Caenorhabditis elegans: one gene and its partners. The protein of the gene in region 4 interacts with the protein of the main gene of each other region in a pairwise test. Each region holds a gene or a part of one and is shown on either strand. Other genes may lie near its edges. The genes, in order: unc-54, myo-3, gon-14 and itr-1.

What was found.
Region 1: the proteins of itr-1 (region 4) and unc-54 interact in a two-hybrid assay, tested with the Caenorhabditis elegans proteins (one study listed by BioGRID).
Region 2: the proteins of itr-1 (region 4) and myo-3 interact in a two-hybrid assay, tested with the Caenorhabditis elegans proteins (one study listed by BioGRID).
Region 3: the proteins of itr-1 (region 4) and gon-14 interact in a two-hybrid assay, tested with the Caenorhabditis elegans proteins (one study listed by BioGRID).

The regions. Positions count from the first base shown.
Region 1 is NC_003279.8:14,858,914-14,866,232, reverse strand, and holds the start of unc-54 (Myosin-4), read left to right. Parts: upstream 1-2,750; 5' UTR 2,751-2,782; coding exon 2,783-2,845; intron 2,846-3,407; coding exon 3,408-3,536; intron 3,537-3,584; coding exon 3,585-3,725; intron 3,726-4,206; coding exon 4,207-4,663; intron 4,664-4,743; coding exon 4,744-5,528; intron 5,529-5,580; coding exon 5,581-7,319. UniProt on the Caenorhabditis elegans protein: Required for muscle contraction.
Region 2 is NC_003283.11:12,229,431-12,237,016, forward strand, and holds the start of myo-3 (Myosin-3), read right to left. Parts: upstream 4,914-7,586; 5' UTR 4,871-4,913; coding exon 4,735-4,870; intron 4,351-4,734; exon of another isoform or gene 4,215-4,350; intron 4,160-4,214; exon of another isoform or gene 3,967-4,159; intron 3,666-3,966; coding exon 3,454-3,665; intron 3,385-3,453; coding exon 3,228-3,384; intron 3,181-3,227; coding exon 2,881-3,180; intron 2,783-2,880; coding exon 2,254-2,782; intron 2,190-2,253; coding exon 1-2,189. UniProt on the Caenorhabditis elegans protein: Essential for muscle contraction. Involved in ovulation likely by regulating the contraction of gonadal myoepithelial sheath cells.
Region 3 is NC_003283.11:6,604,060-6,613,744, forward strand, and holds gon-14 (HAT C-terminal dimerization domain-containing protein), read right to left. Parts: upstream 7,100-9,685; coding exon 6,914-7,099; intron 6,866-6,913; coding exon 6,357-6,865; intron 6,306-6,356; coding exon 6,083-6,305; intron 6,032-6,082; coding exon 5,877-6,031; intron 5,828-5,876; coding exon 5,690-5,827; intron 5,643-5,689; coding exon 5,405-5,642; intron 5,355-5,404; coding exon 5,232-5,354; intron 5,188-5,231; coding exon 5,117-5,187; intron 5,002-5,116; coding exon 4,817-5,001; intron 4,771-4,816; coding exon 4,703-4,770; intron 4,277-4,702; coding exon 4,110-4,276; intron 4,063-4,109; coding exon 3,970-4,062; intron 3,925-3,969; coding exon 3,412-3,924; intron 2,847-3,411; coding exon 2,744-2,846; 3' UTR 2,374-2,743; downstream 1-2,373. Other genes in the region: ZK1055.7 (Protein F37C4.5), read right to left, coding at 1-111, 568-676, 730-964, 1,010-1,129, 1,174-1,314.
Region 4 is NC_003282.8:7,672,129-7,679,680, reverse strand, and holds the start of itr-1 (Inositol 1,4,5-trisphosphate receptor itr-1), read right to left. Parts: upstream 4,508-7,552; coding exon 4,429-4,507; intron 3,150-4,428; exon of another isoform or gene 3,000-3,149; intron 2,203-2,999; coding exon 2,100-2,202; intron 509-2,099; exon of another isoform or gene 363-508; intron 1-362. Other genes in the region: C08G9.2 (uncharacterized protein), read left to right, coding at 6,802-6,984, 7,101-7,170. UniProt on the Caenorhabditis elegans protein: Receptor for inositol 1,4,5-trisphosphate, a second messenger that regulates intracellular calcium homeostasis.

The DNA of each region.
Region 1 (7,319 bases), on a different chromosome or scaffold from region 4:
CAGCGTTGAAATAATATTTTCTCATTTTATTCAAAGTCAGTTGAAATAATTCAATGCAGTTGTTTCTAATATTTTGACAAAGGTTGCAATCTCAAGTTTTGCATTTCCAGTGAAGGCATTTTTGATACTTGAATAAACCTGTAAACAATGCTTCAGAAGACTATCTGAAAAAATGCGCTCCATTTCGATAGCACCATTTTTCAAGAGCTATTTAACTTTTGCAACTCGCATTACATACGTTCTCGTTTCCCATGCTAACAGAAAATTAAAAGTATGTTGAAAAACACATTTTTGAATAATAAAACATTATGTGCCAATGTAAGTCCGCTTGTTAAAATTATCATCTTCTTTAGATATTTTTTGAATGGCATATAGGGCATTTATTTGAAAAATTTCATTTTTCGCTTTATAAAAACATCGTAAAATGAAAAACAAAAATACTTGATATAATTACCGAATAAACCCTTCGATCGACTCAGTTAAATATCAGTGTTGTATGTGTGTGTGTGTGTGTGTTGTCATCATTTCGTTTTCCGATGCTTCCTCTTCTTCTTCTCCATTCCGTATTACACAAGACTTGGAGGGGAAGAAATGTCGGTGGCAAAAAGAAAGAAGAGTTACGGATATAAGAATTGAAGCAATCGTGCAGTGTGTTTTTGTGTTGTTTTTTAAGTTGTAGAAGTATCAAAATATAGAGGAATTTATGAAGTCACCGCTCAAATGTGAATATGTTAACGAATCTAAAAATGGTTCGGTAACCAGTACTAAAGAAAATATGGTTAAACTGCGACAGCCACTAGTGAAATTTTTCCACCTGCCACTTAGTCAAATCTGTTGAGCTTAAACTGGCTCGTCACTGAGGCTGGGTAATACAGGAAGTTTGGTTCATTGTACAGTTGGGTTTACATTTAAAAGAATATATCACAGAAAATCAAAGAACGTGTAATTTATCTTATCATCCCGGAAATTTCTTCCAACTGACCCTTGGCTTTTGTGTATCTCTTATTACAATCAAAAAACCTCGTCTCCTCCCGGTGGAACCCAGAAAATGCTGCTGGATGCTCCAAGCGCTCCCACATGCCTTCAAACTCCTAGGCGCCTGGAGATAGTGTTGCAATCAAGGAGAGCGCGAGACGAAGAATCAGTTGTTACTTTTGTCTGGGTCTCTAGGGGTTTCGTGATATTCCCGTGTTGTCTTACAGCATCCGCGAATTGTTTTCGTCAGGATGAAGTATGAGATTGTGGGATTTGGAGAGAAGCTGATTTGCTGGAGAAGCACAAAAATCTGAAGAAAATGTTTGAAGAAGATAAAGCAAACGGAAAGACTATCCAGTTACATACATACTATCATGAGAATGATTTATGAGCCTTTTCGTAAATTTTTAGACAGATACTATTATCAGGAGACCTTTTAAAGCAAACGCGACAACTTCATAGTAGTTACCAAGGCTCGAAAAATTGATTGGTGCAACTTGAAGTTCGAATGAGTAGAATTGATAAGTATTACAGGTGCCTCCAAATCGATTGTCCGCCACAATGATATACCTCGAATCCATCTGATCAAAATTATTACTGTAGCATTGAATCGCAGTACCGTAATCAAATATTAAATATTTTTGCCCCCCTCTCCTCTACGTATCAATAAAAATAGTCTTAAAACTTACTTCGACTCCAAAGTAGGTTAGTATCAATTTTGCAGACTTTATTTGTAATGCATTTCTAACAAGGAAATTTTTACATTTTACCCTCAAACTTCAAAATGAGACATGTTTCATCTGAAGTGTTTTAGATTATGTCACGAAAGGTATGTCACTGCAAAATTTTAAGCAGCAATACTTTTCTCTCAACCCCTAAAATATCGATCTGAAATTGTCTCATTTAACCACTACTTTAGAGACCTGCATAATTGCTCTAAATGCTTTTTTGCAAACTTTGAAAGTTTTTCAGGAAGTGTAGGTAAACACTCCGGGAGGTTTTTAAAGAATTGTGATTTTTTTGGAGAATTGGTCTAAAAATTTTTTTGATTTTTTTTTTGAAAGAATTGTTATAACAATTTTCTTGATTTTTTTGCAAAAAAAATTAAAGGAAAACTGCACTGAAACAATTTCAGATCAACAATTTTAGGGTTGATATTAGAGCTTTGCCGCTTAGAATACTGCAGTGAGTATTTTCGGTTTTCACTGGTCTCTGTAAAAAGAGTAATGCAAAGGCAAGTTAACTAGGTCGTAAATGTATTGATTTGCTTAAAATCTGAAGATCTAGTGGTGAACCGTGGAAGATTATCAAGAGGAGGCTGAAGATCTGTTTAAGAACCATTAATCAAACTGGTATTCTATTTTCACTGGTTGTATGTAAACATTCTATCTTATTCCTTTTATCACTGTTCTGCACTTTCCTATAAAAAAAGTTGACCGACCGTACTCTCTGAATTCATTTTTCCCGATCTTACCAACTCCCGATCTATCTCTATCCCTGGTTTTTTCTTCGTGCTCCAATGGAATTCTTGAGACTTCCACTATCTTCTCTGGCACCCTCCACTACGCGTAGGCGTCTCTCGCTTCGTGTATTCCCGGGAAGCCGGGTTCCCGTCTCTCCCGCCGCTGCCGCTGCCGCACACAGCTTTACACCTCGTAGAATCCCCAAAGAGGGGCGTGGCTTGCGGGTGCCAACATCCTCCTGCCGAGGAAGAAGCAGGCACTCATCACTCGCATCATCAACCTCGACTAAGGGAGCACCACATTAGTTTTGAGGTAGAGAAACCATTTGAAAGAAGCGAGAAATCATGGAGCACGAGAAGGACCCAGGATGGCAATATCTCCGCCGTACCAGAGAGCAGGTTTTGGAGGTGAGTATTTATTTTTTATTTATTTATTTTTCTTTCATTTGTCTTTATTGTTATGCTCATTTCTATAGAGTAAATCGTATAGTACTCCATAAGTATCTAATTTTAACAAAACTGAGCATTTATTTTTGAAATTCTAGATTTTTAACATACAACTGAGTTAAAGTCTGCCATTTTACACTTATAGATTTTTTAAATTCAGGTAGAAGATTTGAGCTTGCCTTGTAATCCTTGTAATCAATGTTTATTTCTGTTTTCTAATTTTTCATAGATTTAGCTTCAAGATCATCTTTCCCTTGAAATCATTGAAATCTTCCTTTCTTAAATTTTTGCATTGCACTTGGAATTTTGTGACACATTGTGCTGCAGTAGTACTGTATTTTGAGACGGCACATTTATTTTGACTACACCACAAGCTTAACCTTGATTTTACTTTTTGATTCCATTCCATTCATGGGTCTAAAGTGTGAAGCGGTTTAGACCATTTTTCAACACAAGTTGGTATTCTTTAGAAGTGATATATTTCTGAATTCTGATCTCTTTTGTACCATTATTGTAATTTCAGGATCAATCTAAGCCTTATGACTCCAAGAAGAACGTCTGGATCCCAGATCCAGAAGAGGGATACCTTGCCGGAGAAATCACCGCCACCAAGGGAGACCAGGTCACCATCGTCACCGCTCGCGGAAATGAGGTTCGTTTTTAAGCTAATGATTACGGTTTTCAATGTAGTGTGATTCAGGTCACCCTCAAGAAGGAGTTGGTTCAAGAAATGAATCCACCAAAGTTCGAGAAGACCGAAGACATGTCCAACTTGTCTTTCCTCAACGACGCCTCTGTCCTCCATAACTTGCGTTCCCGTTACGCTGCTATGCTCATCTACGTAAGTTTCATTGAAACTTAAAGTTAAGCATTGAGAATCATTCATATTCTTCTTCTAAATTCCCATAAAATCCCGAAACTCCTTCCCTCTATCTTCTTTTCTTCTCGTTTTCAAATGTTTCTCTCTATCCCATTCTCTCATCAATTGAGTGGGATGAGGCTATCTCTGCCTCTCTTCTGAATCTCTGAACCATCTTACATTACACTGTGGATGACGGGAGCCCCACAGGCTCCCTTGCATCAGATACTGCCATTGGGGATGGCAAAGAAGAGAGAAGGTATTGTGAGGATATATTTTTCTAAGAAAAAACGTTTGAAGAAAAGAAGATGAAGAAGATCTGCTTGATTCATTGCACAAGTTAGAAGTAACAGGGGTCTATATTTCGAAGAACTTAAAGGGAATGCAACTGAACATAAAATTAAACAAAGGGATTGAATCCTGCAGTATTTAAAAATCGAAACTAGAATGTTTCCTATTTCAGACCTACTCCGGACTTTTCTGCGTTGTCATCAACCCATACAAGCGTCTCCCAATCTACACCGACTCTTGCGCCCGTATGTTCATGGGAAAGAGAAAGACAGAAATGCCACCACATTTGTTCGCTGTCTCTGACGAAGCCTACCGTAACATGCTCCAAGACCACGAGAACCAGTCTATGCTCATTACCGGAGAATCTGGAGCCGGAAAGACTGAGAACACCAAGAAGGTTATTTGCTACTTCGCCGCTGTCGGTGCCTCCCAACAGGAAGGTGGAGCTGAAGTTGATCCAAATAAGAAGAAGGTCACCCTTGAGGACCAAATCGTCCAGACCAATCCAGTACTTGAAGCCTTCGGTAACGCCAAGACTGTCCGTAACAACAACTCATCCCGTTTCGGAAAGTTCATCCGTATCCACTTCAACAAGCACGGACGCCTCGCATCTTGCGATATCGAGCATTGTGAGTTACTTTTTGATTTATATTCTAGCATAGCTCAATAAAAATTATGCAACTATTGTTTTAAACTATAAATTTTGCAGACTTGCTCGAGAAATCTCGTGTCATCCGTCAAGCTCCAGGAGAGCGTTGCTACCACATCTTCTACCAAATCTACTCTGACTTCCGTCCAGAGCTCAAGAAGGAACTTCTTCTTGACTTGCCAATCAAGGATTACTGGTTCGTCGCCCAGGCCGAGTTGATCATTGACGGAATCGATGACGTCGAAGAGTTCCAACTTACTGATGAAGCTTTCGACATCCTCAACTTCTCTGCCGTCGAGAAGCAGGATTGCTACCGCCTCATGTCCGCTCACATGCACATGGGTAACATGAAGTTCAAGCAACGCCCACGTGAAGAGCAAGCTGAGCCAGATGGTACCGATGAGGCCGAGAAGGCATCCAACATGTACGGAATCGGATGCGAGGAGTTCCTCAAGGCTTTGACCAAGCCACGTGTCAAGGTCGGAACCGAATGGGTATCCAAGGGACAGAACTGCGAACAAGTCAATTGGGCTGTCGGAGCCATGGCCAAGGGTCTCTACTCCCGTGTGTTCAACTGGCTTGTCAAGAAGTGTAACCTCACTCTGGATCAAAAGGGTATTGATCGTGATTATTTCATCGGTGTGCTCGATATCGCCGGTTTCGAAATCTTCGACTTCAACTCCTTCGAGCAGTTGTGGATTAACTTCGTAAACGAGAAGCTCCAACAATTCTTCAACCATCACATGTTCGTCCTTGAACAGGAAGAATACGCCCGTGAGGGTATTCAATGGGTCTTCATCGATTTCGGACTTGATTTGCAAGCGTGTATCGAACTTATTGAGAAGGTAAGATTGAATTGAAATTTTAAATGTATTTTGATCAATTCTTATTTTTCAGCCACTCGGTATTATCTCCATGCTTGATGAAGAGTGTATCGTACCAAAGGCTACTGATTTGACCCTCGCTTCCAAGCTTGTCGATCAACATCTTGGCAAGCATCCAAACTTCGAGAAGCCAAAGCCACCAAAGGGAAAGCAAGGAGAAGCTCACTTCGCCATGCGGCACTACGCCGGAACTGTGCGTTACAACTGCTTGAACTGGCTCGAGAAGAACAAGGACCCCCTCAACGACACCGTTGTCTCGGCAATGAAACAATCCAAGGGAAACGATCTTCTCGTCGAGATCTGGCAAGACTACACCACCCAGGAAGAGGCCGCCGCTAAGGCCAAGGAGGGAGGTGGCGGTGGAAAGAAGAAGGGAAAGTCCGGATCTTTCATGACCGTCTCTATGCTCTACAGAGAGTCTCTCAACAACTTGATGACTATGCTCAACAAGACTCACCCACATTTCATCCGTTGTATCATCCCCAACGAGAAGAAGCAATCTGGTATGATCGATGCCGCTTTGGTTCTCAACCAGCTTACCTGCAACGGAGTGTTGGAAGGAATCAGAATTTGCAGAAAGGGATTCCCCAACAGAACCCTTCATCCAGACTTCGTCCAACGTTACGCCATCCTTGCCGCCAAGGAGGCCAAGTCCGATGACGACAAGAAGAAGTGCGCCGAGGCTATCATGTCCAAGCTCGTCAACGACGGATCCCTCAGCGAGGAGATGTTCCGTATCGGTCTCACCAAGGTCTTCTTCAAGGCTGGAGTTCTTGCTCATCTTGAAGACATCCGTGACGAGAAGCTCGCCACCATCCTCACCGGATTCCAATCCCAAATCAGATGGCATTTGGGTCTCAAGGACCGCAAGCGCCGTATGGAACAACGTGCCGGACTTCTCATTGTTCAGCGCAACGTCCGTTCCTGGTGCACTCTCCGTACCTGGGAATGGTTCAAGCTTTACGGAAAGGTCAAGCCAATGCTCAAGGCCGGAAAGGAAGCCGAGGAGCTCGAGAAGATCAACGACAAGGTTAAGGCCCTCGAAGACAGTCTCGCCAAGGAGGAGAAGCTTCGCAAGGAGCTCGAGGAGTCCTCTGCCAAGCTCGTCGAAGAGAAAACTTCTCTCTTCACCAACTTGGAATCCACCAAGACTCAACTCTCCGATGCTGAGGAAAGACTTGCCAAGCTTGAGGCTCAACAAAAGGATGCCTCCAAGCAACTCTCCGAGCTCAACGATCAACTCGCTGACAACGAAGACCGTACCGCTGATGTTCAGCGCGCTAAGAAGAAGATCGAGGCCGAGGTCGAGGCTTTGAAGAAGCAGATCCAAGACTTGGAAATGTCTCTCCGCAAGGCTGAGTCTGAGAAGCAATCCAAGGATCACCAGATCAGATCCCTTCAAGATGAGATGCAACAGCAAGATGAAGCTATTGCCAAGCTCAACAAGGAGAAGAAGCATCAAGAAGAAATCAACCGCAAGCTGATGGAGGACCTCCAATCCGAAGAGGATAAGGGTAACCATCAGAACAAGGTCAAGGCCAAGCTTGAGCAGACTCTTGATGACCTCGAGGATTCCCTTGAGCGCGAGAAGAGAGCCCGCGCCGATCTTGACAAGCAGAAGAGAAAGGTCGAGGGAGAGCTCAAGATTGCTCAAGAGAACATCGATGAGAGCGGACGCCAACGCCACGATCTTGAGAACAACTTGAAGAAGAAGGAATCTGAGTTGCACTCAGTTTCTTCCCGACTTGAGGA
Region 2 (7,586 bases), on a different chromosome or scaffold from region 4:
CAAGTTGCGCAGCAGTGGCTCCTCCTTGTTGCTCCAATCTTTCGGTGAGTTCTTCCAACTCGCGTTCAGCCTCGCTACGGGATCTATCAGATTTCTGGCGAGAGTTTCTCTCGGCTTCAAGTTCTTCTTCGAGTTCGGCATTTCTAGCAGTGAGCTCCTTGATAAGCCGTTGAAGCTTAGCAATGATAGAGTTGTTCTCAGCGAGCTTAGCATTGGTGTGGTGAAGATCTTCTTCCTTTCTCTTCAAAGTAGTTTCAACGTCATGCTTCTGCTTGGTAATCTCATCGATGTTCTCTTGCGCAACCTTCAAGTCTCCCTCGACCTTTCTCTTTGCCTTTTCAATATCACCACGAGATCTCTTCTCGCGGTCAATATTTTCCTCGAGCTCATCCATTTGTTGCTCGAGCTTGTTGCGGATCTTCTCAAGATGGTTAACCTTGTCTTCTTCAGATTGAAGATCTTCGTTCAATTTGCGGTTGGATTCTTCTTGATGCTTCTTCTCCTTGTTAAGCTTTGCGACAGCTTCATCTTGATTAGCCATCTCATCTTGAAGGGAGCGGATGTTATGATCACGGCTCTGCTTCTCCTGCTCAGCCTTTCTCAAAGAAAGCTCCAAATCTTGAACATGCTTCTTGGTATCAGAAAGTTCTTGATCAGTCTTCTTCTTTTGGCGAGCAAGATCCTCGTTACGTTCTTGCATGTCTTCAAGTTGTCCAGTGATATCGGACAGCTTGCTCTCAAGGGTAGCCTTGAGTTGGTTGAGCTTCTCGTTTCTTTCTTCAGCATCGGCAAGATTAGCCTTTTCAGTTTCAAGGCTCAAGAACAATGCGTTCTTCTCTTCAACCAAATCGGCAACTTGGGATTCCAATTGGGAACGAGCAATTTCTCCGCGTTGAACTGCTTCTTCGAGCTTTTGGATCTTTACGGCAAGCTCTCCCATTGCTTCTTGTTCCTTACCGGCCTTGAGCATTGGCTTGACCTTTCCGAAAAGCTTGAACCATTCCCAGGTTCTGAGTGTGCACCAAGCACGAACATTGCGTTGAACAACAAGCAATCCAGTTTGTTGTTCGTAACGACGACGAACTTCGGCCTTGGCAAGGTAAGAACGAATGCGGGATTGGAACATGGTAACGATTCTAGAAAGAATCTCGTCACGCAAGTCCTCAAGCTTAGCAAGAACTCCGGCCTTGAAGAAGATCTTGGTCTCTCCAACCTTGAACTCTTCATCGGTCAAGTTTCCATCAACAGAGATCTTGTCAAGGATTCCGACGGAAGCCTTCTTTGGATCAGATTCCTTAGCGGCATCAGCGGCAAGGATAGCGTAACGATGCTTGAAATCTGGATAGAGCATTCTGTTGGGGAATCCCTTACGGCAAATTCTGATTCCTTCCAACACTCCGTTGCATGTAAGCTGGTTAAGAACAAGCGCAGAGTCAATAACTCCAGAAGCCTTCTTCTCGTTTGGAATGATACAACGGATGAAATGTGGGTGAGTTTGATAAAGCATGTTCATCAAGTTGTTGAGAGACTCTCTGTAGATCATAGAGACGGTAGCGAATGAAGATGATTTTCCACGCTTTCCTCCTGCAGTCTGTCCGGCTTTAGCAGCCTCGGCAGCCTCTTCTTGAGTCTGGTAGTCTTGCCAGATATCCAACATCAAGGAGTTGTCGGTAGAGTGCTTGAGAAGAGCGACAGCGGTGTCGTTGAGAGGATCCTTGTTCTTCTCGAGGAAGTTGGTGGCGTTGTAACGGACAGTTCCAGCGTAGTGAACAATAGCGAAGTGAGCATCTCCCTGCTTTCCCTTTGGTGGCTTTGGCTTCTGGAAGTTTGGATGTTTTCCAAGATGTTGATCAAGAAGCTTCTGAGCATAGGTCATATCAGTGGCCTTTGGAACGATACACTCCTCATCAAGAATAGAGATGATACCGAGTGGTTTCTCAATAAGCTCAATACAGGCTTGAAGATCAAGTCCGAAATCGATGAAGGTCCAGGCAATTCCTTCACGCTTGTATTCTTCTTGTTCAAGAACGAACATGTGATGGTTGAAGAATTGTTGAAGACGTTCGTTGACAAAGTTGATCCAGAGCTGTTCAAAAGAGTTCAAGTCGAAGATTTCGAATCCAGCGATATCAAGCACTCCGATGAAATGCTTACGCTCAATCTCCTTTGCGTCAAGGGTCTTGTTACATCTAAAAGTAAAATAAGTAGAATAATATTTACCCTAATTAAAAATATTTGCTCTTTGTTATTTACCTGGTGATGATCCACTTGAACATACGGGCATAGATAGCCTTGGCAAGTCCAGAAACGGCCCAGTTGACCTGTTCCAAGTTCTGTCCCTTATTGACCCATTCGGTTCCGACACGGACACGTGGCTTGGTCAAAGCCTTGAGGAACTCCTCAGCTTGGATTCCGAGCATGGCAGCAGCGTTGAGAGCATCTTCCTCACCGTCTGGCTCGGCTTGCTCTTCACGTGGACGCTGCTTGAATTTCATTTCTCCCATGTGCATAATTCCAGCAGTGGAACGGTAAAGATCCATAGTCTCGTTGTCTTCGAATCCCATGATATCGAAAGCTTCCTGAGTAAGTCTCATCTCCTCCTTATCATCCATTCCTTCGATGGTAAGCTCGGCCTGCGAGCAGAAGTGATAGTAAGTGATGTCGTTGCTAAGCTTAAGCTTTCCACGGAGACTTGGATCGTTTCCAGACATAATCTGGTAGAAGATGTGATAACAACGCTCTCCTGGTGCCTGACGGACGACACGAGATTTTTCGAGAAGATCTGAAAATATTTTTCTTTTTTGAATGGTTTCACTAGTTTCAATTTAAATTCCTCCAATCTCATTTTTTCTTAAAAACTAATCATAAAAGATCACTCACAGTGTTCAATATCTCCTCCAGCCAACTTTCCAGATCCAGAGAAATGAGTTCTGATGAACTTTCCGAAACGGGAAGAGTTGTTGTTTCTGACAGTTTTAGCATTACCGAAAGCCTCCAACACAGGGTTCGTTTGCACAATTTGCTCTTCAAGAGTACCTCCCTTCTTTCCATCCTTGGCTTCTTTGCCGGAAGCAGCTTGCGTGGCTCCAACAATAGCGAAGTAGGAGATAACCTTCTTGGTGTTCTCAGTCTTTCCAGCTCCAGATTCTCCGGTGATGAGCATAGACTGGTTCTCCTTGTCTGAAATTTGAAAAATAAAGTTCTAAAACAATTAAATTTTCACATACCTTGAACCATGTTACGGTAAGCTTCATCAGAGACAGCGAACAAATGAGGTGGCATCTCATTACGTCTCTTTCCCATGAAGTGCTTGATTACAGATTCACTGTAGATTGGAAGACGTTTGTATGGATTGATTACAACACAGAAAAGTCCGGAGTATGTCTGAAAATTAAGTCGGTTCAATTTTTGAATAGTATTAATTTTTTTTTTGAATAGTTTCAATTTCCTTACGTAAATCATCAAATCCTTGTAACGATCCTTGAGATTTCCCAAAACAGAGGCCTCATTCAAAAAGGTCAAGTTAGCCATATCCTCGGTCTTGTCGAATTTTGGCGGGTTCATCTCTTGGCATTGATCTTTTTTGACGGTAATCTGGTTTCCCTTCACAGTTACCACGGTCACCTGTTCGCCGGTGGTGGATTGGATCTCGGCGGCGACGAATCCTGAAATTTAATATTAGCCTCCAAGAAATATATGTTTTGTCGCATGCGGCTGATTAAAATCAGAATGTTTTATTCGATTATGTCATTTAGTTTTTGTTTCTGTACAAAAATCATTATTGTGAGATTTATAAGTTATAGAACAATCTTTTCTTTTTCATTTTCAAATTTAGTATTTTTGATTTAATCCTAGTTTTATTTGTCATCCTCGAATAATAGATCTGGTCAGAATTACCATTTTATTGACCTTGACTTTTTAAATTCCGATTTCATATCCACATTTCAATATTAAATCTTCAAAACATGTACATATTGTTGTCCATCCATAAAATGTGGGACGTCAAATATCTCAATCTTAAATTCCAAGAAATCTCATCATCTTTCCTGCCAACAGCAGAAGCCGCAGTTCAAACGGCAGGAGAAGCTCTTGCTCCGGCTTCATAGCGTACGTGTGTGCCTGCCCGCTTCTCCGGAAAGATTACAAAGTGCCGTTGTGTGTATGTGTGTATGTGCTTCATCAGATGACCGAGAGATGAGAGAACCTCAGATGTTCAAAAATCCGCCACCACTGGTTGCCCGGCGGGGTCGGTGGAAAGTGTGATGTATCATAGATAAAATGCAGATCTGAGAGACACAGATGAAAGCGTAGGAGAGTAGGATGAATGTGGACACTGGCGATGAGAGAGAAGGTGTAATAATAGTTTTTGTTAATGGAATGGACATAATGAAAGTTAGCTTGAATTGGTTTGGTAAGAATTAGGAAATTGAACAAACAATATCAAAGCAAGAGTTTTAAAGTGTTTTTTGATTAAGATGTTCTGTTTAGATCAAATGAAAAATTTGTATCCAAATTAGTTTCATTAACAGAAAAAAAGTATTTACAAACTTAACCATCATAACTCTTTGCAATACCACTATTGTAACCCTTACATTTTTAGCGTTGACAACTGATTTCTAAAATTAGAACATATCACAGTTACTATTAAAATTATGGGAAAATATTCTTGCCAAATATTACAGCACGTGGTTCAAAATTTTTCTTTAAAATTTTCAATTCGAAATCAAGACTTACCATCTTCTGGATCCGGAATCCAGCAGTTCTTCTTGGAATCAAAAGGACGAGCAGCAGTGGCAGCTCTGGCCTCTCTCGAGATTCCCAAGAATGGGAATCCTGGATCATTTTCGAATGCGTCTGGATTTCCAGACATTTCTAGATGGATCTAGTGGTCGTGGGTTTGATGGCTCCCTGCCCTGAAAATTAGACGGTAAAAGTGGAAGAAGAAGCTGGTTGACAAGCAAAGAATCCAAACGAAATGTGAGAAACAATTGAAATAAAATAGGAAAAAGAAAAATGGAACACTGCTTTTCAGAGATAAAAAAGTTATAGACATTGCTATAAGTTTTTGGAGAACAATGGTAAAGCGTGGTGAGAAGTTTTAGGTTTCAATGGGATTTGAAAGATGAGAGAAGGTATTGAAAAGGGACCTCAATCATCTTTTTGTGCCGTTTTCATAGCATCAAAAACCAGAAGCATGCTTCTTCTTCTTCTTCTTCTTATGTTTCTTCTTATCCTCCCACTCCGGTAGGCTCTCCTCCAATATCAATTGAATTGTATTGAGCCTTCGGAGCGAGTTGTGGGGGAGCAACAGAATCTATACAACACGCACACACATCATCGTTGAAGATAAAGAAGAAGAAAACGGAATCCCGGGAGCTATCCCGCCCTCTCTGCACTCTCTCTCTAATATTCTATTCTTGCTCTTCTATTTTCACTTCGGGAGCCCAACCAACACCTACCCTCCTTCGTTTTCCGATGAACTTGTGTTTAGAGACATAGAGATATCAGAGAAGGGACACAAATTTTGTTTTTAACAAATCGCCGAGAAATTTGAAGAAAGGTGATGAAAAACTGGGTGCTATTGTTAGCCAGTGGGGAATGTAACTGGGAATACCCTAGGGTTATGAAACTTTTCAGTTCTTACACAGGTAAAGCTGGATTTTCCAAATCATCAATCGGTTCCTCTGCAGTCTCGATTAAAATATTTGATATTTTCGTCAGGGATTTTGAAGACAAAAAGTTACTTTTTTCAAAAAAATGTAAAACTGTAAAAGGTAAAAATTTAATAGTTGGAAATATGTGATAACAGAGACGTTTACCTGATGGCAGGAGGTGTGATCCATTATATTCCATTATATTCGCGCACTCTTAACATTACACTAGTGCTATCTGAACAGTTGCGAAGAAGATCACAACAACAGTTTCAGATTTCAAGTTTTCCTGATTGCGCACCGTGTTGTTCATTTAACCATGTTTAAAATTAAATATGAAATAAGGTGCTTTGAATAATTTTTAACGATGCTTGAAAAATAACTTCTTCTACAAAAATGGTTAATTTCTATGTACAATTTTTCTTTTATAAATTATACTGACTCTCAAACCCATTTTTCTGTTCTTTGTTTTCTGTTTTTCATATTTTCTCGACTTGACTGTTTTGCACCCCCTCTGCAATCATTTTTGTTGACCCATACGTTGCCATCACGTACCAAGTCCAAGCTATGGTATCTGTTAGCAACAGTTGTCACTAATCACATGGCTCTTTTTCTCTGTTTTTATTCATTTTCTTCAGTATCTCGTGAAGAAAACAATGTGTTGATTGGTCTTTCAATTCTTGCAACAGATGCATTAGATTCAGGGCGCCGGAAGTGCAAGAAGTGGGCGCTAGTGAAGAATTGAAAAATATGCCAAACATCTGGATAAAAATAAAAAATTAACTTGCAGATAAAGAAAAAACATTGTGGTTGATCAGAAATGATAATTGGTTGGAAGCCAAACTTTAACGTTGGTTGACCAAAAATACATTGAACTAATTGGGTTATTCGTGAAATTAAAACGTATATTTCAGTGCACTTTTTGACTAATTGTAACCTGAAAAATATATATGTATTCCAGAACAGTTTTTGACCTTCTTACTCTTAGAAATCTTAAATATGTATTGAAAAATTGAAATGATCGTAACACAGTCAGTTTGGCCATACTATTTTTTTGGGTTCTAAAGTCAGCGGAGCGAAGCTGATTGCTGAATTTTTTGAGCACAATACCCAATATGTACTTCGTGAGTTCCGAAAACATATGAAATGTAACGAAACTTGAAGATCTAGTTCATCACATAATCCTGAAAACACTGATTGTGAAAAAGCAATCACACACAAAACTCAAAATCGGCCACCATAAACCTTTTTGCGGCCAGACCCTTTTGAATTAATCTGTGTGCCTTTAAGAACGCGTTTCAGAAATTGCAAATATACAATTCTATATCATTCAAATAGCATCTGTTCAATGATCGGTAGTTTCAGAACATATTCCAAAGATCAATTGTCATTTTAGAACTGATAATTAAACTTTCTTCACCTACTTCTATTTTCAGGAGATTAGTATTTTAAGAACTATGACGTAGTGGAATGTAAAACTATGGCACGTGACAAATTATGCAGTTAATTACAGAATAATCTCTAATTAGCCTGCACTTTTATTTTCGAAAGAAATACTCATGTTTTGTCGGGAAAATTATTTTATTCAAGAACTTATTATAGCCGGCAGTGATAGAGTACAGGTTAAAATAAATTACTGAAAATATATGTCAACCTGATCTTTGTTGCAGCCTTATCAAGCAAAATTCAAAATTAACGAAAACAGAGACTATAATCACTTGTTTCATTGGTTTTCATCAAACAGTTCAAATAGTTCAGAATGGAGAAGTAATTGAGAATTTATTTTTTTATTCGGTTTGACTGATTGCCTACAATGGTAAAAGATATTCCAATATTTCGATTTTTAATTATGTTTGTTGCATTTTTCTGTCTAATGAGTATATTTTCGAACTATACAGTCATAAATTTTACATTCATTTGTATGAAGAATGACTC
Region 3 (9,685 bases), on a different chromosome or scaffold from region 4:
GTGTCAACTCGGATATCGTATGATGGATGCCACGAAGCATCTAACACTTGATAGACTACATTCAGCTCAGCTTCCAGGTCTTCTGTGCATTCCAAAGTAATTGTGGCAGTGCTAAAATTAAGTTATCAATTTGTTGGGAAGATAGGCAAACAGTGATCTTAAATACTACAGCTTAACAATGTCAAACAATAAGACTCAAAAAATAAATTGTTTCTAGAAATAGATGGAAAATCATATGGAACTTTTCTTTATAATATTTCGAATTTTTATTAGGGTTGGATGCTTTTTTGCATATCTTCAAATCTATCTGTAATCCCATTTGTATTTGAAAATAAATAGTGCATAGAAAGCAAAGCATAGCTCATTGTGCGCCTCAAATTTTTATGGGTTTTTTGATAGTTTTTCAAATTTTTTAAATGATTCAAAATTTGGTATGTTGCCAAAAGTTTGAGTTAAGATTAAGAAAGATTTGAAAAGACATATAAAGTTGTTTTTGCCCCATTTTTAGTATATTTTGGTAAATTCCCCGACTGGCACAATTCCACCTTAAACTTTTCAAAAACTCACTGAGAGAACGCTTCTTCATTCAAATTGTGCATTAGAGCTCGTAACTCGTTTTCCAGTTTCGAAACTTTTTCCTGTTGCTCACGGTGTCCAGCTTCAACTGATCGTAGTTCTAGAAAAAAAAATTAAGTTTTTTAAAATCTCAAATTTATCGTTTAAACTCACTTTCTCTGTATAATTCGGAGTTGCTCCCATAGAATTGGAAGAAATTTGTAAGACTTTCCAAAGTTCCTTCATTTAAAGAAGCAACACCATCTTTTGGTGGATTCACGAGACCCCCACCAACTTGTTCGAAAACTTTGTCCAAATTGTCAACGCATTTTTGGACAACCGTTCCGCGATCTGTGATTTTTTGGAGGCGATTTTTCTCCTCTAGAATGGCAGCTTTGAGATTGGTGATCTTAAAAAAAAGAATATATTTTCGAATTTTAATTATCTTGCCAACCTTTGGAGGATCAGCTTCAGTTGGCAAACGAGAAACATTCTTAATAACTACATCATGAATGATTGCATTTCCTCTTCCTTCAACTCTAATTGATCCTTGAGCCATTGTTTTGCAGAGGTTCTAAATTCAAAACTACTTGAAAAACTTGTTCATATTCTACAAACCTTGAGAACAACTTCATTGACACCAGATTTCAATGAAACTTTGACAAGACGACGGATTTCAGCTCTATCAGTGAATACTTTCACCTCGGCAATTTTAAGATCACGAGTCTCGAACTCGTGGACAGATGGGTTGGTGGTCATTTCTGAAAATGACTCTTTTTAAGAGGTGTGTATTTTCAAATATTAGGAATTCTAAAATAACGAAAGTATATATCACGAATTGTTGTTAATCATTAATATCGCTGCATTTCTAAGAATATATAGATTTACGGACGGTGATACAATCTTAATGTTTACTGTAGAAAATCTGGCTTGAAGTTAATTTATTCAACATATTGGTTTGGTATTTTTCTAACTGGTCGTACATTTCTACATTAAATGAACCAATGCATGAAATTTGAAGCTTGTAGCGATCACTATAGCTGAGATCGTGGCGAGACCTACACAGAAAAATAGTGTGCGCCTTTAAACTGAATTTTAAAATTTCAACGAATATACGATATACGCATGAGAGATTATAGCAGTAGTTGTCTAAAGACAAAGATATTTTTAAAAAACATCTGTATTTTGTAAATATTATTAATGTCATATTTGACGCGCAATATATCTCGTAGTGAAAACTACAGTAATTCTTTAAAGGACTACTGTAGCGCCTGTGTCGATTTACGGGATCATTTTGACTTATCATGTAGATATAATTTATCATATTAAGCAAAAATGAGAAAATAATACGAAGAAACGAAGAAAAATAGAGTATCGCTATTTATCACTATTCGAGAATAAATACGTTTCAAAAGTCGAGCCCGTAAACCGACACCACAGCTACTGTAGTTATTTAAAGAGTTACTGTAGCCTTCGCTACGAGATATTTTGCGCGTCAGATAGTCAGATAGCGCATTACGCATTTTCATAATTTTGTGTTGTAATAAATTCAGAAACATTATATAAACTGAAATAACACACTGAAATTTCCAAAACTAAAAAACGTAAAGTTGAATATTCAAAACTTTTCGAAAAGAAACGCGACGAGATGACTAAATTTCATAACGTTGATATCAGTAAAACCTTCAAATCATTTCAAAGAGAGGAAACTCTCTATTTATACCAAAGAGACAGAAAATGTTTCGCAATGTGTTTGTGCTGACTCATTGGAGACTTAGATGCAGAAAGGAAAACGCGATAGGATAATTTTTTTTTTTTTTTTTTCACATAATAATTCACAAATTTTCGAAACGTTTTTTTTCTCCCAAAAATATGAAATACCAGTCAGAGGGTATGCAAAGTTTCTTGCTGGGTCAACAATTCAGAAATGTCAAGGTGAGTTGGGAATACAGAAAAAAAGAAATGATAAGATACTCTTCAGAAAAATTGAGAAAAATAACATGATTGAGAACTATTAAACAGAACAGGGAAGTAAACTGGTCGATGAGAAAAGAAAACGTTAGCATAGTCAATTTGAAACAACATGCGGATATATCGAAACAAGTAGCATAACAAAAACAAAACAATGAAAATACCAACTAGTGACAAATAACTAAAGTGAATTGAGGTACAGATGTATGAGCTGGGATTATTGTGGAGGTTGATGTAGCTGATGGGTAACACCAGTTTTTGTACGAATGAAATACATCTTTTTCGATGCAGTCAGAGGAGTGTTTAAGTTGAAGGAGACTCTGAAAAGTTGAATATATTTAATTTAGGTTAATAATGGTATCAGCAGAAAGGATGTAATTTTATTTTAAAAAATCGAACATTTTGTTTTTCGATCTTTTGGAAAACATTTCATTTTTATGAATAATGTCATTTCTCTGATTTGAGAGATAAATCTATACATACTTTCCTCGTATTTTTTTTGAATAAAATTTTATTTCCAAAAAAAAACAACCGAACAACTTTTTCTATTTTCTATGAGAAATACCGGAAAATCGAACATTTTATGGCGACACCTTTGATACAAGGATGTCGGTTGTTTGATTTCTCACTAAAATTAAAAACCAAAAATTGTTTAATTTTTGAAAAATCGAAAACTTTCAATTTTCTGATATTTCGAAATTTTTTTTTGATTTTTCAAAAAATAGCTCAAAATTCTTAATAATTTCACTGCTTTTTAGAAAATATTCATGTTTTATTATGCTTTCTCATCAACGTAAACATTGATTTAAAAAAAATATTTTCTGAAACATTTTTTTTCGATATTTCAAAAATCGAATATTTTCTTTTTTTAATTGATCAGCTCACGAAGGGGTATTTCTGATAACTCGTAATACTTGACCATCTTTTCCGCGAATCACACTTGTTCCATTGCCTGCCGCAGGTCGTACTGCGTAGTACCTCTTCGGTGGAGGAGCCGATGGAGTCAGTTGTTCAACAATGCCCTCTTTGGATTCGGTTTTAACGACAACAGGCCTCGCGTACGGCGATGATGAAGCAACAGTGTACACTCTCTGAATCTTCTGTCTATTCGCAGCGATTTTTGCAATTTCATCTTTCAGACTTCTTCCATGTGGTGCTTCTCTGTTTGTTCGAATTGTGGGAAACGATTGTAGAATTCGATGCGGTGGAAGTGGGTTTGGATTCTGATACACAAATGGCGTTCGTTGAGGAATCATTCGTTTTGGAGGCTCGTCTGATGGTACATCTACAATCTGTAGAGCTCTCACATCGATTGCATGATACCAAGCATCTTCAGGAGAATTGGCGTCTTTTCTTCGCTTTACGCAAATTGGTTTGCACATCAAAGATCCCTTCGAGCTATAAAATAATAATGAGTTTTGGAGATCTAAGAATTAAAATTACCGATATTCAACTAATTCACTCGCTGCACGAAGTAGCATTTTCCTTTTTGAGATATCTGATTCGTTGATCGAATGTGTAAGGATACCGTACTCTCTGTAAATGTCAACTGTATTGAAATTAAGCGAATAAAATTTCCTAACCCGAGATAATAAGCGGCATCAATCGAAAACGCTGGAATTATGAAAAGCTCTCTGGCATATTTGTACAGACGAGGGAAGCGACCGGCGTGACGAGCCCACCAATCCATGATTCCAGTTTCAACACCAGTAACTCTGCACACATACTGTGAGAACGCATTGACCTCTTTCTGTAAAAATATATACCATAGGAATGAATATCGTGATTTCTAGAAATGTTGACATGCCTTCCTAAAAAAGCGAAGATTTATACAGATAGGTCTCGAAGTTTTTTTTTATATTTCCGGTCACCTTCTCGTTTCTCAAGGAAATTACTTCATTTCTGGCAAATTTTGTGGTTTTTCAAATTTTCTGTTGAACATTGTTTTAAATCAGTTTTCTACATTTTTCCGGCCGACAAAAGGTTAGAAAATCATATTTAAAACCATGTTTAACAGAAAAATAAAAACGGCAAAAATCGCTAGAAACTACATAATAACCGTAAGGAAAATAAACGAGGAAGCAGTCACAAAAATTAAAGAAAAATACCATAAACTTTTTTGCGCGACGAGACCCATCAGAATGAATTCGTGCGCCTTCAAATAATTTTTCCTTACATCTGCAGTTATCGTATTGTCGAATGACGATGGATGTGCAAGAGTGGCTTCAGCTGCTTCACGGAGAGCTGAAATATTATTTTAAATATAAAATTTAAAAGTAGTAAAACCAACATAAATGACTGGATAAATCAGTTTTGATTTTCATCCAGTCGGCTGATGCAAGGAGATCAGAGCCATGACGAAGAGGATGAAGGAACAAAGCGAAGCGATGTATATCTGATTGCTCGACGAATGGAAGAAGAAGTTGATTGAAGATCGTGCTCACAGCGTCAACGACTGTTTGTTTACTCGTGGTGCTGGAAAATTGACGATTCGAAATATTTTTTAAAGTGTAACAATACTATACGGTTACTTAAATATACGGACTATGCTGAGAAACTTATTTTTAAAAAATAAAAATTTATGACTTACACTATTAAAGAGAAACTGATATCTGCAATGGCTGGAATTACGTCCGCAATCGTTGCTTTCACATCGACCATCTGAATTACATACTGTATAATTGTACAAGTTCGGCTCTTTTTACCTCTTTCAGTGCACTTTTGCATAGATTCAACAAACTATGAAGATATACGATGTTTACATTATCCTCGACATCAATATATTGAAGTTGTGCACTTGTAGACACAAACTCACTGAATAGTCGATGCTGAAAATGGTTTAATGATTTTCTGACTGATTAGCTGTTTTATCAAATACCATGTGAAGGCACTTTGTGATAAAATCCAACGTAGTAATCCAGTGACCATTATCAACTTCGGGATATTCTCCATAAGTACGTTTCTTCACGATATAGGACTTGAATTTGCCCCAAGAATTTCGATGAGTGGGAAATTTCGTGATAAAGTCTCGAAGCTTTTGAAGCGGTCCAGCAAAGACAGGATGCTCAATGAGAGTCTCTGCGAATTTGTTGATGTTTTGGGAGAAGCATATCATGCTGAAAGTTTTCATTTTGAGAAAAAAATGAACGATTTGTTCACTTACACTTGCTTGAACGAGTGCATATCTTCTAAAGCATCCTCAAATTCTGCTTTTCCCGCTACAACAGTGGTGATTTTCAATCGGGAACCTGACTCTTCTATTGTTTTCTGGATCGCAGTCATGACGGATGGCACAATTGGGCTGAAATAAAAAATAGAAAGTTACAAGTATTATTGTAAACTGAACGTACCCAGTCATATCATACTCGCGTAAGAAAATACATCGTCTCATGCGCGACCTTATATGATAGTAATGGACTGTAAAAGCCAGATAGTGACGATTGTTGAAAGTCGTCGTGTCAAATGTTATGGTCACTGGACTATCGTCGAAATTCAATTTTGCGTTCTGAAATTCATTTATATTTGAATTTTTATTTCAAATTCCCTTCTTCCCTACCGCTTTGGCATCAGCAATTTTCTCGAGAAATGAATGCATCGTTTCAACAGTTGGAAGAGAATATTCTGAATTCATGTTGAACGCGAGCATATTTAGATTACGATCTTGAACTGCTCGCAGTGGGATTCCACTCTTTATAAAGAACTTTGTCAATGCTTGATCAGCTCTGTCAATTGTCACTTGTTGAATTGGTGCATAAATTTTAGGTGCTGCCGTTATTGGACTGAAAATAGACATAAAATTGAACACAATTTTAAAAGCTACGGGAACTTACAAATGATTTTTGTATTTTTTCATTGTTGCTTCATGTCTACTAATTAAATGATGTCGGATCGGTCGAGTGTCCGTACTGTTAAAGTACTGCTCTTCGCACATCCCGCACTCCAACGAGGTTGCACCGCTCAAATTGCTGCTGGTTTTCACACAAAACGACAAAATTTCTCCATCAGACAGCTCTTGTAGGTAAGTCGGGAGATTTGTGAACTCTAGCGATTTTGTTGTAGGTCTGCGGATTGCACGTGTCGCTGAGGTTGACGTTGTTGGTTGATGATGATCGGACTCGTAGGAATTGTGGTAACTTTTGCTTTCATCAAAAGTTTCATAACTGTTTTGCTCTATTTCAAATGGCATATGATCGTAGTCTATTTCTTCTACAGGTTCAATGACTTCTTCTTTAACTTCTGGCCATGATTCAGATGATGATCCAGCTTGAGAATAAGGTTCCTCTTCTTTGATCTCCAACATATATTGTTCAGTAGCTGATTCGACAGAGGAACTGGGAATCTGTAAATAAAAGTAATTCATATTTCCAAAGAATTTAATTTTCCTCACTCTTTCGACAGATTTATCCTCCGACAAATGTGTTTTGCACAGGAAGTGAACTGAACCGGCCATTATCGTTTTTATCTGGAAATCGTACTTTTCCATCCAATTCTTCAGATTCTCAGGATCCTTGGGGACAATAACCATGCTGTTTTTATTCAACAGCGCCAAACATTTACAGCATTTGTAGAGCATCTGAAATTTTTTTCGTAATAAAGATGAAAACTTTAGAGAGAACGATAAATTTCCAGAAAACCCAAAATTTTTTGCGAAAAACCATTAAATTTACTGTTGTGAGAGACGCGCAAACAATTGTGAACAATTTATTTCTGTGGCTCGCAAACACCGCGACGGCAAATCGCAGACGATTGTTCATCGTATCACATGCGCGAATATTGGGCGCAACAGTAATAAATTGAAAATCAGAAGTATTATACTTGTATTTTGAATATTTAAGTGTATATTTTTGAAATATAAAGTAAAATATAGATTTTTAAACCATTTTTGAAAATATTATTTTAAGTGAAATAATTTAGACTTCTTATACGAAAATCAACGTGTTTCATTTAAAAAGTGCAATAAAAATTGCTGAGACATGAATTAAAGTGGAAAATGATTGAAATCTGTAGAGATCAAAATAAAAACAAAGAAGAATGCCCCGAATAAATTGACTGTGGCCATGGAAAACGCGGAAATGTTCAAGTACGCAAACACCGTCATGAGACTGCGTACATTTTCTTACCGTGCCCACTTTTTCAAATGTTCAAACGACAGTATGGATTATATGAAAAATTATAAGTCTAGAAAGGTTTTAGCGAATTATTTCTTCCAAGAATTTTTCTGAATTTATATTAGAAAAAAAAATCAAAAATATTTTCCAATTAAAAAAATATGTAAAACTTTTTAATTTTAAAATATTTTTTATCACAAACCATCGAATACTCATGAATTTTAAAAATTGCTTTCGACAAAAAATATAAAATTAAAATAAGAAAATGACTGAAAGTTAATAAAAACTACCATCGATCGATGTGGTCCAACGCTGTTGGTACGGCAGACGATAACATTCCAGTCGTGGCAGGACCATTGCCCATAATTTAAAATGCAATAGAGCATTCATTTGTGAACCGGAGAATATATTCGTTCCTATATAATTCTGACAAACTGTTCTGAAATTTTTAAAGAAATTTTTTTCAGCTAAATATTTAATTTAAAAACTGCCTTATAGAAGTTGTCTCCATGTCTAATTTTGATAAGAATATGTGATTCTTGGAACAACTTGAGCTGTTTTCAAAGCTTTTTATATTTCAGAAAAAATCGGAAATTTTTTTGATCGAGTTGAATGAAAAACGTTTCAGATTTATTTTTAAAAAATTCCTAAAAGCCTCTAGCATATTTGACATTCTACAATCATTCTTAAATTCATCAAAGCGCTTCAAAAATCAACATTTTTGAGAAACTTTGGGGGTCTCTAAAGTGCTGACCCATTGCACTGAAAAAATTTCCGATCTAATTCATCGTTAAAGTGTTCCTGAAAATGTAAATGAAGACTCAGTCTGAATTTATTTTTTACCAAATGGGAAAATTCGTAGTTCTATGAGCTCAAATATATGACCTATTGCATAGATTCAAATTTTTGCTGCTATAGACAAATTTCAGACATTTTCCTCATCTTGTACTTCATTATTATATTTATACCTATTTGTACCTACATATTAGGCCTCCCGGCAATTTACCATCTGGCAATTTTCCATTGACATGTCACCTTGAAATTATATTTGTCGTAACTGAAGACAGTATACATATATTTTTCAAATTCTTAATGTGCCTGAACTGTGTAGTATTTCAAAACCTTATCATGTGAAAATTTCATTAATTTCATTGTAATCCGGAAGTTTGTTTTCAAGGCGTTGATACACATGACGTCAAGTACAGTTTTTAAAATCAAATGTTCATTACCGGTTCATGAAACTGACTAATACATAGAAACTCAATAGAAAAAAAATTATCGAAACTAATATCGCACTTCTGCTCTCCCCATTTTTTCATCTTTGAGCACGTCAGGAGTCACGCTGTAAACAAGAATTGTGGAATTAATACTTCAACGACATTTTGATATCAAAAGCAAATTTCGTGAAACGGTAGAAGAAAATAGGTTTATCATTGGACGGATGGTAGAAAATTGTTTAAACATCGAAAAATGGAAAATCGGAAACATTCGAGAAGCAATAAAATATTGGAGGCACAGTTCAATCAAATTCAGGCATAAAATATAAAAATAAACCCACTGTTAAATTCGAAAATAAACCCACTGTTAAAAAGTTAAATTCAAATAAATAAGCTAATATTTCATAAAACATCTATAAAAAAGATATGATGCGGAGTTTGTCTGCTGTCAATTTTGACAGCTTCTCCTATGGCTGTTATTTAGGACATACTAGGTCGTCCTCTTAAATTTTGTGTGCTTAGCGTCCTCTTAACAGGAAACTTCAGGCTCAAATCCGTATCTAGATAATATTGGCCCAAATAATCGATTTTTGTTAATAAAATTAATGTATCAAAATCGAGAACGATGTGGACGTCCTATTTATGAACCCTAGCTTGTCCCATTTCAGATTGACTTCTGAAAACTGTGGCAATTCGTGTTTTTGATACTTTGGGCGCATAACACTTTTTTTCTACATAGAATCCTCAACATAAAATTTTGTGACGTAAAAGTTTGAAATCCACGTATTGCCACGGCTTCTGTGTCATGAGGTATGTAGAAGGAAATATACTAGC
Region 4 (7,552 bases):
TTTTGTAGCCAAATTCTCTAGATTAAAAAAAGTATTTTACCGAACAGTTATTATTTCAAAAAGTTCTACACCGACCAATCTAAAAACGGTTCGTCTTTTGAAAATTCTGTCAGAAATGTTTCGAATAACTGTTCATCGGTCAAAATTAAACCCCTGTGATATGAATTAAATTTCCGTGAAAGAGCCAAATGAATGACGCAAATGAAATGGAAACCACGTATTGAAAACACAAAGAATGGAACACATAAGTGATTCTTCTCACAATTATGGCTTCTCAAATATATGTTATCACAAACAAAAACATGTGTGTCCCGCCTAAAATCAAAATCATTGAACAATCATTGACAAACACTCAGAGAAAGTCCAGGGGAAAGTGATAAGGTTATTGAATCTACATCTGTATGCAAACAACTCTTTTTCTCTAGTTATTCATACTCTACAACAGTTTTCTGTACACTGCACCAGAGGAAGAAATAGTATAGAATGAGGAAGAGATTCAGACAGACAATCAAACTATTCTCTTTTTCTTTTTTCTTACTTACAAATCCTCTGATTTTTACTGTATGTTTCTGACGATCCGCGAAAATTTTAACCGTTCTATGAAAAAACCTAAATTCAAAAATTACTTTCTAGTAAGTTGCCAAAAAATGTGCTTCAGTTCTCAAACAAAACTATGAAAGTTAAGACACGAAGAAGGAAACTATAAAATGTTAATGGGTTGGTGTTTTGAGTTAAAATGGGCAAAAATGAAGAGGAGTGAGGTTGTCAAAAGCTAATCAGTGACCACAGAAAATAGGCGAAAAAAAGAAGGGTGATATCATGACGTTTTGCTTGTCCGCCTACTACTCGGCGGATATGCCCACAATCATTTCACTGTTTCGTGACGGAAAAAAAAATGGAGGAGAAGGAAAAAGAAATGATACCGAAACAATCAAAATATGAACGAACTTCATGAACAGTTCAACAAATATATTAGCAATATTCGATCATCTCCGTCACGCTTCAGAGGTCGCCAAATATTGTTCTCGGTCAACTCGAAAACTCGGAAGTAACAAGGTACTCAGTAATGGACTTAAATTTATATTCAATCTAATTTTGTCCATAACTCTGGATTAATAAGTGACAAACGGAACTAACCACAATAGTCTGTTTAAAACAGGAGAATCATCAATGATAGTTTGCAAATTAATATTATCAGTCTAAAAAATCAAACTAATAGTATTAAACGGATTATTTAGTTTTGCCATTGTCTGGAAAAAAGGAGTATGGGAACACAAATTGCGATAAGTACTTCATCAGAAAATTTACGTAAAATTTAAAATTTAAAATAAATTTTAAAATTTATAGGGATTTTTTTATTTAGAGGTGGTTATCAAATTGTGCGACTGCACCAAAAAATAATTTTGAACGCCATAAAATTTTCCGAGATTTCTCGTTGTGATTTTCAGTATTTTGAGAAAATCTTGAGTCTATTCAAGCAACAACTCAAAACTGTTACTTCCCCTTCAAAAGAGATACACCTTGGAATCTGGATATGCCAGGATTTACTATAAATCGGTTATAAGAATACGTATCATTAACTTTAGATTTAAATCAAATTCATCAGGTTCACATGCATTTTTATTATTCAAAATTGATACATATTACTTCAACATTTAATTGGAAGTTAGTATTGCTTGCAATAGTTCACTGATTTATTCGAATCTCCAAGTTAATTCAAAAATAGAAGCACATATGATTTGAGAAAAAAAATAACTCGAGAATAGTTTACCAAAATTTTTTCCAATCAAAAATACCTCAAATAAATGATCATTACACCCTTTTTATATCGGCGACCTTGTACTTTTTTCCAAAGTGATACCGATACCAGGAGACCATCTCGATATACAAAGTACTTGAGAATGAGCAGCGTTTCTTCTTTTTCAAACAAATTTGAAAAGGCTCTTTTTTCTTGTTGATACAGGAATATTCTCGCCATTCACGTTGTTTTTTCAATTGTTTTTTTTTTGATAACAGTAAAACAGGATTTGTAACAAAACAGCCAAATGACACTCAATTTATTCTTCGAATAATACGATTTTTCAAGAATACAAACTAACCTGGATTTCCTCATAATTTGTTCCTCAAAATCATCAAAATCAAATTCAATTCGTGTGCTTCCACCACCACTAGCACCTCCACTGGCCGTCGTTTCGTTTTCGTCTGAAAATTGTGCAAAACTAAACATTTTCTCATTTTCTTGTCATTTTTTAGACAATTTCTTCACATCGGATGATCGACGGCACGGTACGCTCAAAGCAAAAGGACTATAAAAGTTTAACGATCTGTGTCACTTCTACACCACACTCTTTTACACAAATCACATTTGACACGGTTTTTAATTTTTTTAAGGAAGTTGTTTTTAATTTTGAAATAAGGAGTGATAGGTTAGTTAGCGTGTAAATTTTCAGAAACATGCAAGGATTTGAACTCAAAAAAGCTATTTAAAAAAACAAAAAAAACCATGAAGTGACAACTAAACATCTAAAACATTTTGGTTTTATGAGCGAGAAGCTGAAGACGATTATGCAACGAATCACAGCTGTGAAGCACGTTGTTTTATGAGCAAAATGTTGGAAAAAAGGAAAGCAAAAAACTGAATAGAAACGGCAATATAAAAACATATACACGGAACGGGAATATGTTTTATTTAAAAGTTGGTTGGCAACTTGCTCATGCTTTTTAATACTCAGTTAAATGAAAAGTATCGCCAGTGAGGAAGTTGTTTCAAATCAGCCCAATAATATTGAAATTACCGGATATCTTATAGTTAGCAGAGCTTTGTAAAAAATTATCAAAGTTTTTTACTTACAGTGAAACAGTGACAATTACTTAATTTTTTCACCTATTTTGGAAGTCGGCAATTGTTAACAATTTTTATAAAATTTTGAATTTCATGAAAATTGAAATTATTTTTATTCAAATATTCTAGAGGTTCACATCTGTAGCAATGCTCGAAATTACTCAAAAAGTCCAAACTTTCTGAAAAATCTACAATTTACAAAATTTCACCAAATCAAAAATTGTGGAGTGTTTTATTATGATTGTCGATTTCGGTATTTTCCTAAATTTTTCACAACCTGTTAAGGCGTTTATACCAAATAATTTTCAAGTTAATTATCATTTCCTTCATGCATTGTCTCTGGATCATTCCTCTTTTGAATTAAAATGGCAAATAATGATCATCTAGCTTTTGATAATGAACATATTAATCGTACTAGATCTTTCATCAAATAATTCAGTCACAAACCAGAACGATCAAACTCTCTAGCCTTTTTAATCGAATTTGGAATTTACAGTTCAGAGATTGAAGTTGTGTAAAGAGAAATAGAGAGAAAAAGAAATTGATCAGGTCGACAATTTGATGAACGATTCGATGACGTCTAATGTTAGAAATCAACGATACAAACTATTCGACAAAAAGATGAAGACGACAATAAATATAATGATATTCGTGTTCGAACATCAATCATTTTCGATTAGTTACGATGCCAACGAGACAACAAAAAAACATCTGTAAGTTCATTTTGTAAAATAATACGAACAGATGTGTGGAAAGAGGAAAGAGAAACAGAAATTTATGCATATCGTTTACCAGGAAAATATTAGAGAAAGAGACACAACAATCGGTATATATTTTGTTTGTTGAAACATTCATGAAATAGATGTATATGCCTCACATACATCAATAGACAACCAAGACGGTACGTAAGCCGCTTACAGGTGCCCCTTTTCTTTTGAAAGACAAGAAAAAATAGAGACCTCCGGGAACAAAAATGTGTTTTAAAGTGTTTTGCTGGTTGATGTCCCATATGATTGTATTTGTCTATTGTTTTATCGATATGCTCTAACGGTGAGTCAATAAATGCACTTTTTCTAGAAGAATTGAAAAAAAGTGTTTTTTTTTTAAATATTTTTAATTCAAAACTCTTTCATCATAGTCAAAATCAAAACCGGTTCTCAAAAGTTTGGCTTTATATTCAAATCTACTTTATGGACCAACTTTTAACACGAACAATAACAAAACATATCCTGTGAAATGGCGCCCGGTAATTTTAACTTCCATTTTACACATTTTGGTGGTTTTATTAAGTGTTTCTTGTTGGTTTTTTTTCTGGGGCGTTGGCCAAATAAGTTAGGCTCAATTTGAGACTATTTAGACGTTGGTTTTGAATTTTGAGAACAATAAATATAGTTCGCTACTCAACCTTTAAGGTTAAAAAGAAACATTGAAACTGAGAAAGTTCTGAGTTTCCTGTACATTTTTCAGTGATTTCATCAATGCTAACCGTATCAATTAGATTTAAGTTTATCGGTGAAAATTTGAAAAAAAATAAGATCGTTAATTGAAGCAGATTTTAGAAGTTTTTTTTTAATGTAAAAACTTACATTCATAATGCTCGGGAACGAACTCTGGAATAGATATAATGGATACTTTCTTACGAACCCGGCCATATGATGGATTCATTCTGGAATACTTTTTATGAAAAATGGAAAATAAGAAGCACAAAATCAATAAAAGTTTAAAAAAGAAATTGTAAAGCAAAATCGTATTAAAAATATAGTGACTCTCCAAAAAAGAACGGAGGAAACGTGTCACAAAAGGAGAAAAAGAGGAAACGTTTCTGAATTGAAAAGATTTGATGTTAACGTCTTGGACGGTCTCATGGTTCAGAGAGTTTTCAACAACAAATTTCTATTGGAAATTCTTTCATTTCATCTCCATTTTTCTTGTTTACTTTTTTGCAGGTAAACCCGCGCAAATAGTTGAAGTTGACACAATGTCAAAATGAGCGCGAATACCAATTAAGAAAGGTCAGATCGTTGGCATCGGTAGACAGACAACAATGAAAAAAATAGATTCCAGATGCGTTTGATTTGAAGATAGGAGGAAAGGAACAAAAGATGGTGGGCAACGGGAACCAAGTCACACTTATCAAATTAAAGGAATTAATGGGAATTCAAATGTATTAGCTGCAGTAGTCAATAACATCGAGATTTACAAGAAAATTATCTTTGAACAAATACGATACACAACGCTGAAACGGTGTGATACATAGCATGCAGCAATTGCCGTTCGGTAATCGACTTTTCGACGATTTCGGCAATCGCTGAAATTGTCGATTACAGGAAATCAGAATTGCCGAAAATATAAATGTGATATTTTTTGTAGATTTAGGAGCCCAAACATGAATTTTAATGAACAATGTTCTCTCTTTTCAAGCTCAAAATGATTTAATACTTGAAGGGTTGCCCGTTTTCTTTTAGAGAATGACTAACCTAATACAATAATTTTTGAGACATTTTCAAGTTGTCTCAATAGGTATTTAGGATCAATTTTGATTCTAAAAACAATCACCCAAATTTTGCTACTCCATCTTTAAGTGGAAAAATGAAGTAATATCGTTCCTGTTTTTCCATTTTAGTTTCGAAAATGATACAAGTTCAATTTCAAAAGTTGAAATATTCAGTTACTTTTTATAAATCTCATGTCTCTTTCATATCCCGCTAGTAATTCAATTCATATGAGCAGTCGACTACCATTTTGGAAGATAAACAATACAAATACGGGTTGCGAGAGACGAAGAGATCTCCAAGTGACACTTATACCGAAATGAGCGAAAGAGTTAGCGAATACATTTGTTTTGCGTACTATTAGCAGAGCTTTGAAACAGGGCGCAGCCTAAATTTGGGAGAGAAAGAAGATTTGTACGATTACGGAATAGAATATCCTACAGTAGAAAGTTAAAAAACATTACAAAATGAAATGTGCTTCATTAGGACAAAACAATATATTTTATTGTAAAACTAGTGGAAAAGAAAAAAAAAAAAGAAATGAAGAAGTAGTATTGGACTCCAAAAATATGATGTTTGATACTTTTCTGAAATGTGATAGTTTTGGAAATTAATGCGCGGATTTTTCTGAGCATTTTCTGAATCCATCGACTTTTTTAAAACTACATACCACATCTCATCTATTAATTTTAAATTTAATTTTTGCGGAAATTCCCACAGAGTATAGCCGGTCTGTCGGAAAATCAGTGCATGACAAACTAGAAGCTACAAAACTAATAAGGGAAATACGGGTTGTTTCAAACTAAATGCTTATGTTCGAATTGCAATATTTCATTCTGACTACCTTATTAATTTTCCCTTATTTTCCTGTTTTCAGAGCTCATATACATAAAGTTCACTTAAAAACCAGAACTAAAAAATCACGTACCGTTTTTGAAATTGACACACAATGTAATTTCACAGTTGGACGGAGCAGAAATCAAGGTTAGAAACATTTTCACAGTCTGTACTAGTTTTGCATTATATTTTCCTGTAATATTTTGATTTTCAAAAATCCAAAACCAAGATCCCTTTCGTACATCCCGTGATTGATTAAACAACAATGAGATTTCGAAAAGTCAGCATTTCTGCTCGAAAATCGTGTATCAAATCACCTTTGACCCTGTAGCTCATCATATCTAAACATTTTACAATCTTTTGATTCTTCATTCACATAAATCCAGTGGACCTCTTCCGTATTACATCAACTTCCTCGTAATATTTACAAATCTGTCGGAAGACAGTTTCGCACCTCACACCGCAAAAGTGGGCGGCGTGTCCGTGGCGGTGGTGGCCGGGGGTTGCAATGTGTCCACTCAACAGAAGTAACCTGTCTCTTTTCCCTCAATCCACCTGTCATCTTTTACTATCCTAAATTGACCATCACATCTTTTATTCTTATCACTTCCGGATGTCAAATGAGCAATTATGTGGTTACTGTATCTTTTAATTCTGAAACCATTTTTGTCGTCTTCTATAGACCTTTTACCGGCAAGTGTACCAAATGTATGTCCTTTCCGTCCAACCAGTTGTAATTTATTATGCCCTTTTGGATATTTGAAAGATATTCTTCAACAATGTATCTGCACATGTGCAATGGATCCTTGCCAGGTTAGGCTTTTTGAAAGATCTCTGATATTTTTTTGAATTCTTCTAACACTCTATAATATATTTAACGAGAAATAATTGTTCTTAATAATATTTTACTTTCTATATTAATGTTTTAGACGACAATTTGTGGACCATCAGAAAGTTGCATTGCAATTGGCGTGAAAGCACGCTGCATTCCAAAGTTCGGTAAGTGTACATCCAATTATGGTGCGTGACCAGTCTCTTTTGGGAAGAGAAGTGACAATTATCTGGCTACTACACGGCTAAGCTAGTATTCGGACACGTTTTTGTGAATACTCTGTTCCTTTTTTGCCAAAGATTTTTCTCGATTTTCTATAAAAGACAATTGAAAAACGAAAAAAAAACGAACAACGGTTACATCACATAATAACCTTCTATATTAGAATTTCTCAAAAAATAAAAAATCAACTCATGTCCTTAACAAGAAAAACTAAAAAATGCATTTAATTTCTTCAAAATTACAAAAAAGAAATGTACATATGTATTAAAGTTAATTTCAAGATAATTCCAAGAATCAAGATAAATTTTTTGAAAATTCAAAATTGAA